2 linked regions of the Elephas maximus indicus genome follow. The protein of the gene in region 1 purifies or fractionates together with the protein of each later gene. This does not show direct contact. Links are inferred from orthologs where the notes say so. Each region holds a gene or a part of one and is shown on either strand. Other genes may lie near its edges.

Evidence for each region. The genes of interacting proteins can lie anywhere in the genome.
Region 2: the proteins of RAB11FIP1 (region 1) and RAB11B purify together in Homo sapiens (affinity purification with mass spectrometry; 3 studies listed by BioGRID and IntAct, counting the BioPlex papers as one, with this or other methods). This does not show direct contact. The link is inferred for Elephas maximus indicus from reciprocal best matches to the Homo sapiens genes RAB11FIP1 and RAB11B.

The regions. Positions count from the first base shown.
Region 1 is NC_064840.1:62,789,030-62,792,773, reverse strand, and holds the start of RAB11FIP1 (rab11 family-interacting protein 1), read right to left. Parts: upstream 2,710-3,744; 5' UTR 2,637-2,709; coding exon 2,260-2,636; intron 1-2,259. UniProt on the Homo sapiens protein: A Rab11 effector protein involved in the endosomal recycling process. Also involved in controlling membrane trafficking along the phagocytic pathway and in phagocytosis. Interaction with RAB14 may function in the process of neurite formation.
Region 2 is NC_064821.1:13,114,688-13,118,431, reverse strand, and holds the start of RAB11B (ras-related protein Rab-11B), read right to left. Parts: upstream 2,764-3,744; 5' UTR 2,693-2,763; coding exon 2,653-2,692; intron 1-2,652. UniProt on the Homo sapiens protein: The small GTPases Rab are key regulators of intracellular membrane trafficking, from the formation of transport vesicles to their fusion with membranes.

The sequences.
Region 1 (3,744 bases):
CAATTCCACCTAGTGGTAAAGAAACAAAGAAGTCCTTTGCAGTTATTAAAAACCATCAACTAAGCACCATCTCCCTGATAGTCATACAGTAACTTCAGCGGTAATCAGCTCATAAAATAAGAGTAGCCATCAAAGATTACACTGAAGAGGATGAGAAAAGTGAAGGTGCAGAGACTGAACTCTTCCTGAAAAAGGGAGCTTACAAAGGTTTTCATTCCTCACAAACCAGTTACAGAATCTTTTGAATCTATACACTGGTCCCTTTAATCCAGGAAGCCAGAAACGTCTTACAAACATCAATTAGGGCTGGCAACAAGCTTCCTTTATAAATAGGAAAACTCGGGTGTTTAAGAGACCAAGCAGCCTGAAGCCCAACAATTAGTCAGGACCAAAGCTGGCACCAGACCCAGGAATCTGGAATCCCCATCTCTGGCCGGGAGATGAGATTCATCTTTCAAGGGGATAAAATGTTCACAGAAGAAACAGATAGCTGTGATGAAAGTTAATATCCACACATCCTGGGGCAGGACAAGATAAAGGATGGTCAACAGCACCCAGATGAAGTTGAAAAGGATGCCAACTTATCATTCCAAACGTCATTTAATCAGATGGAAAATTAGCATTGCTTCAGCCCCTCTTGAACGATGACACTGCTCACTTTGTGGCTTGTAATTTGATGCCAAGAGATACCCCATCCATCTTCACATCAAGGCTCTCTACTTTTTATCTGCTTTGAGTTCAGAAGTCTTTTCATCTTTGGCCAGATAAATGAATCAGGTATTGCATTTGCAAACATGCATGCTCAAACTGGACTCACCCTATAGAACAGGGAGCCTGGTAACTTCAAATCCTCTAGCTTTTCCTATCTCCCTTACAAGGGAAAGTTAAAATATTAGGTGTATACAAGACACACAAACTGAATCAGTGTACTTCATAAACTGTAGAATTTAGGTGGTGACCTGATTGGCTTGTATATTTAAGGTCCAAGAAAGTGTCCCAACTAAAATCAGCAAGGCCAGCTTTTGGTATACCAAAAAAAAAGAAGAAGAAGAAAAAAACCAAACCCAGTGCCTTTGAGTAGATTCCAACTCATAATGACCCTATAGGACAGAGTAGAACTAACCCATAGAGTCTCCAAGGAGTGGCTGGTGGTTTCCAACTGCTGACCTTTTGGTCAGCAGCCAAACTCTTAACCACTGCGCCACCAGGGTTCCTTTGGTATACTAACTAGATGAGAATAATTATTGAGTGTTCCATTGGGTTAAGCATTGCCCTTTCCAAGCACCTGTGAAAGAGAACAAATAAATTGGTAACACACTGGAGTGAACTGGGTTTTGACCAGCTTTCTGTGTGGGAAACAGATACCCTGACACAGAACCCTTGATGGGGGAGATACAGATGAGCAGCCATCCATTAGGATTAAGATCACAGAGGGGAGCTTGACAAACTCCAAAGAGAAACAATGCCGGCTTCCCAGTTCCACTTGGCCAAGGGGTGACCCTGGCTCCAGCCATCACTGGGAAATTTTTAGTAATATGAGGCCCAGGGTAAACAGGGTTAATATTTTTCAGCCTAAAAGGAAAGACTAAACTCTTCTAGCATTCTCCCTGGGCCTCAGGCATTACCGCGCCGGGTGGGCAGTGGGTTAGCTCTCACTGGGCAGCCTGCATTCCCCGTGTCCCACCCCCACCCATCCGTACTGTAATGCCTCTACTCTGCCCCAGGGCGTCAGTGAGTCTCAATTCTCCAGTTAATCCCCACCGCCCTGGCCCATCCCTTAACTCCGAGTGCCCAGGCCAGTGAAATACCCAGGAGACTTTCTACATAAATTAATAATCGTATCACATATCCACACGACCCACATAAGGAGGAATTCGCCTGACCTACATACATTTTCGATTCATCAAAAAGTCATTAAGAGCTTACTATGAATGTGCCAGGGGCTGAGCAGCCTCCTGCAGATTTAAAATTCCCCCAGGTGCCGCCCCTACTTTCAAGGAGCTCAAATACAGGGAAAGCTAGGGCGCACAGCCGAAGAAGTGAAGCCGGGTGAGAGTAGGAGTATTGGTAGAGAGGGTCCCTCTCGAAGAGCTTCTCTTCGTCCGTGCCCTTGAAACACGCACCGTGACTGTCGCGCTCACTCTAAAAGGGTCTCAGCGTCGAGGCCGCATGTTTCTCCTCCCTCCCACCCCGTGTCCCACTGCCCCAGGGGCCCGCGCCTTCCTCCGCTGCCTCTCCCCTCCCCCGGCCCGCACTCACTGGGTCTTCCTGCGGCCCTGGTCCCGGTGCAGCTCCCGCAGGTCCACCTCGGCGCGGCCCAGGAACTTGTCGAGGCCGAGCAGCGCGCGGTGCAGCACGGTGAGCTGCAGGGTGGAGGCGGCCGCGGGGGCCGCCCCGGAGGACAGCAGCGGCGGCAGCTCGAAGGTGGCTTCCTCCCGCCACACGGGCGCGCCCAGGGTGCGCTCGGACACCGAGGTGGCGTACTTCTCCTTGCCCACCTGGATCACCGCGTACGCGTCGCTCGTGCCCCCGGGGCCCTTGGACCGCAGGCCCCGTGCCTGCAATACCGTCACCTGCACGTGGGTTGGGGACCACAAGGACCCCGCGCCCCGGTCCGCCGAGGCCGCCAGGGACATGGTGACGGCGGCACAGTCCGCTCGGACGTGAGACGATCACCGCGACCCGCCGCCTCAACGGCCCGCCCTGCCGCCCCGGCAACTTTAAGGCTTCCGGCCACGCCCCCGCCAGGGCCCTCCTCTCCCGGCCACGCCCCCGCCAGGGCCCTCCTCCCCGGCCACGCCCCCGCCAGGGCCCTCCTCCCCGGCCACGCCCCCGCCAGGGCCCTCCTCCCCGGCCACGCCCCCGCCACGGCCCTCCTCTCCCGGCCACGCCCCCGCCTGGGCCCTCCACTCCCGGCCACGCCCCCGCCAGGGCCTTCTTCCCCAGCCACGCCCCCGCCAGGGCCCTCCTCTCCCGGCCACGCCCCCGCCAGGGCCCTCCTCCCCGGCCACGCCCCCGCCCCTTCCCGCCCCACCTGCCCGCGCCCCAGCCCCGCCTCCGCCGTCCGGGGTGCTTGGGGCGGAGCTGGTGCGGCTGGGGCAGAGCGAGGACAGGACGTGGAAGGCGCCCGGGGTTCGAGAATTCGGATCTGAGAGGCGGTGGGTGAGCGATGGGGTCGCAAGCTCCGCTGACTTAGTAGTCAGACCTCATTTCCAGTCTTTACATAGCCATTTGGTAGGTGTGTGACCATGCGCAGATTAATTAGCGACTTTAAGTCTCAGCTTCTTCGTTTGTACAATGAGGTAACGATCGCTGCATTGAACTGTGGAGGAAAAAATAATGCATTACCGTTCTCAGCACAGTGCCTGGCCCACTGTGAGCTCTCTATAAACTCACTGCTCTTTGCCACTTCTGCACGCCTCGAACATTGCTCAGGAGGAAGATAGGCGCCGGGTGGATGGGGAAGGAAAAGGCTTATTTCTGGGCCTGAAAAGGGAAAAGTAAAAAGCCACCACCCTGCAGTGTGGTCGGTGTAGGCGTGTCCTATTTTGCCCTGCTCTCACCGAATGAGGTGAAGCTAAATTAGGCGAAGGAAAGACAGGATGAACCGAAACAGGATTGCCAAACCAGTCATCAGGGCGAGGGGCTGTCCCCAAGGTTCCCCATTTCTCCCTCACTGGGGCCCTTGGGTGGGGCCCTCTTAGTCTCTCCTTCCTCTTTGTCTCTGGGCTCCAGGTGAGACAC
Region 2 (3,744 bases), on another chromosome or scaffold:
CACAGGGAATCGCTATGAGCTGGAATCAACTCAACAGCAGCTAACAAAAACAAAAGTTACTAACTGAAAGGTGGACAGTTCAAAACCACCCAGAGGAGCTTCAGAAGACAGGCCTGGCGGTCTGCTTCTGAAAAGTCACGACCTGGAAAACTCTATGGAGCAGTTCTACTTTGCACACATGGCGTCACCATGGTCCAAGGTCACAGAGAGCTTCCTTTCCCAAAAAATTTACCTGAGTGACAAAATGAGGGAACTTAAAGAAAAATATTCAACGACAGTAGATGGTCCTAGGATGGAGGCACATAGTAAGGTTAAGGTGACACCTCCTACGTCCATAGTCCGGGAAATGCTGATCTTGTGGGCTGGACATCCACTACCAAACCACCTCAAGAAGGTCAGCAGGGCACCTGCTCATGAAAGGAGGCCAGTGGGGGGGAAGGCAGCAAGGCAGGCAGGAGGGCCCCCCCGACCCCCCACCCCCCCCGCCCCGCCACCCCCCGCGCCAGCTGCTGCCGAAGTCACACTGGCGTTTCCAGGAAGCGGACTCTGGGGATTCATCCTGGGAACTGCATGGCCGCTTTGTTGCCCCTGACCCAGTAACTACTTCTGGGAACACACTTCAAGGAAAGAGCCCAAAGGGCAAAAGACGATGGCTTGCACAAATCCTCAGTACCGGGTTATTTATAACAATGAAAGGTCGAGAATAATCAGTACCCAATACACCGCAAGCTGACACAGGGACCTGGAAAAGTCCCGCTGCTCTGGCGGGGCCACAGAGGGCGGGTGCCCAGCAGGGATCTACAGAGTAGCTGCCTCTGTGTAGGCTGAGTGCAGATTGGACCAGTGTGACAGGACTGGAGGCTGGTCACTCGTCCCCAGAGGGTCCCTCCAAAGCACCCCCCAGCTTTAGGGTAAGGTCCCAACATTCAGGCCTCACTGAACAGACAGCTGTGTCTGCCAGCAATGCATCAGCCTGCTGGCAGGTCCCAAGCCCATGGGGCTGTGATGCTGCTGGGCCTTTGCACAGGGGCTCTCTCTGCCTGGAAGCTTTTTGCTGCATGGATACCCCAGGCAAGGAGACCTGCACCCCACTCTTCTCATCTCAAGGACCCCAGGCCTGGCCTCAAGATGACAGATGATACCACAGACACAAGAGGTGGCAAGGCCTGCTCTGGACACGGACCCCATTGGGAGCAAGATGCCCTCAGCTGACATGGGAGGCAAATCCTCACACAGCAGGCAGCAGGCAGTCAGCAGCTCTCTAGGGTGATCACTGTCAGCCAGGGAGCCCAGGAGAGCACCTGGTCACTGCTCAGCTTTGCATGCAAACCGCTGCAAAACCAAAAGCCAAAAACCAAACCAGTGCCTGTGGAGTCAATTCAGACTCATGGCAAACCCATGTGTGTCAGAGTGGAATCAGAGTAGAACTGTGCTCCAAGGCTGTGACCTTTTGGAAGCCGATCGCCAGGCCTTTCTTCCAAGGTGTCTCCGAGTGGGTTCAAATCACCAACTCTTTGCTTAACAGTCAAGCACTTAATGGTTTGTACCACCAGGGACTCCTGCAAAGCCAATGACCCCTAAAACAGCACAGAGTCTCCAGTGACAGGGAGGGAGTCTCCTCAGCTCCAGGGGCAGGATGAAGGAGCTCCTCAGCTGGTCCCAGCAAGCAATGGCTGGCTAGAACCGCGTAGGCCATACTTGGTGCTCCTTGGGCAGGGAAGATCCCCAGAAGGTTGGCCAATGCTGGTGCCATCAGCCTGCATGTGTTGGGAGGTGGTCTAACAGCCCTGAGTCCCAGTCCTGGTGCCAAGGCCCTTCAAACACACTCCCTAGGTTAGGGTTCAAAACTGCCTCTAATACTTACTAGCTGTCCTTGTCTCTCTGGGTCTCAGTTTCCTAATCTGTGAAAAAAGAGCTGGAGTCATAACGACCTTATAGGATTGTGGAGAGGATTTGAATAAATTTCTGTGTGCAAACTGCTTAGAAAAGACAAGATACTTGGTGAGTGCTATCAAGCATCTAGTATCATTAGTTCTGTTCTTCACCAGGTCCAGGTGCAGACACAGGCGCTCCTCCGCCCCATTCAGGATGTGCACCCCAGTCCAGGGTCGCCCCACTACGTACCTCACCTCGGACCCCCACGACGGCACACCCCTTATTATCCGCCCCACCCCTCGCGAGCCCCGCCCCCAACAGGCCTGGCCCAGCCCACCCCAGAGTCCCGCCCCCTGAGCTCAGAACCAGTCCACATCTCAGACACGCCCACCATGTATTGGCCCCGCCCCGAAGGCCCACCCTCTGTCATCCATCCAGCCCAGCCCGGCCCGCCAAATCCCGGGCGGCCCCGCCCCCTCCGAAGGCCCCACCCCAACGGCCTCTCCCACCGCTCCGGGCCCCACCCCCTCTGGGCCCCGACCCCGCCCCGGCGCATCCCGGGTCCCCAGGCCTCCCAGGGCCGCCGGTTGCTCGCAGCCGCGCACTCCGGCCTGGAGCTAACGGAACCCAGTCTGCCCGGCCTTCCTCGCTGCTGGACCTGACGGGTCCCAGGTCCCGAGCTCCGGCCTGGGCCCAACGGCCCGGAGCGCAGCCTCGACTCGTCTGCCCGCCGCCTCGTTGCCGCGCCCTCGCCTGTCGGTGTCCCACCGACCGCACCTTTGAATAGGTAGTCGTACTCGTCGTCCCGGGTCCCCATTGTCCTGGCGCTTCCGGCGGGATCGGCGACTCCGCAGCCCCACCACAAACACCCAGCGGGGGCGGAGCCGGAGTGGCACAGAGCGGCGGTCGAGTGGCCAATCAGCGACGGGCGGCCGAGCAACTGGCACCCGACAAAGCCAATCAGAGGCGGAAGCAGAGCCTCCGGGGTGGGCGCCGTCTGGAGCCCGCCCCCTTAGCCTTCTGTCTCCTGGAGAAAGGCGGAAGGAATGCGGACCTTTCTGAAGTGATGGCCGCACTAGCCTATCAGAGGCGAGGTCAGGAAGGCGGAGCGGAAGACTGGAGGAGTGAAACGGATTGACGGAGCGAATTACCAATGAGAGCCTTGCTCCAGATCCTGCCCTACTACCGGAGGACCCGCTCGAGAAGGGAAATGGGGCTACGTCCAGGTGTAGGAGGTGTCAGCGTCCCAGTGACGTCATAGGTCAGTGCACTCAGCTCTGGCCTCCCTACGTAAATGACCATTTTCGAGGGGCTGTGAGCGAGGTGATTTCCATTGCAGTTTCCATCTCTATATTGGTGACTCATGTGTCAGTTCTCTGTGCCTCATTTTCCTCCTGTGGATACCTCATGGGTTCTTTTGAGGATAGCTAGACTATTTCCCTGAACACATAAAAAATTAATTCACCACTTTTTATGTCATGAAGTTTTTGTTTAACAAATATATTATGAATCCTCACTGGTTACCAGGCACTCTCCAACGTGTCTTCCTGCCTCTCTCTGTCCCCTTACCCTGTTTTCCCCCCATAAGATTTATCACAGTTGTTAGTGCCATCGAGTCAGTCGACTCATAGTGACCCTGTATCACAAAAGTAAAGCTGCCCCAATAGGGTTTCCGAAGCTGTAATCTTTATAGAGGAGCCCTGATGGCGCAGTGGTTAGGCACTCAGCTGCTAACTGAAAGGTGAGCAGTTGGAACATACCAGCTTCTCCAAGGGAGAAAGATGTGGCAGTCGGCTTCTGTAAACTCTAGGGGGACAGTTTTGCTCTGTCCTGTGGGTCTCTATGAGTCAGTATCAACTTGACAGCAAT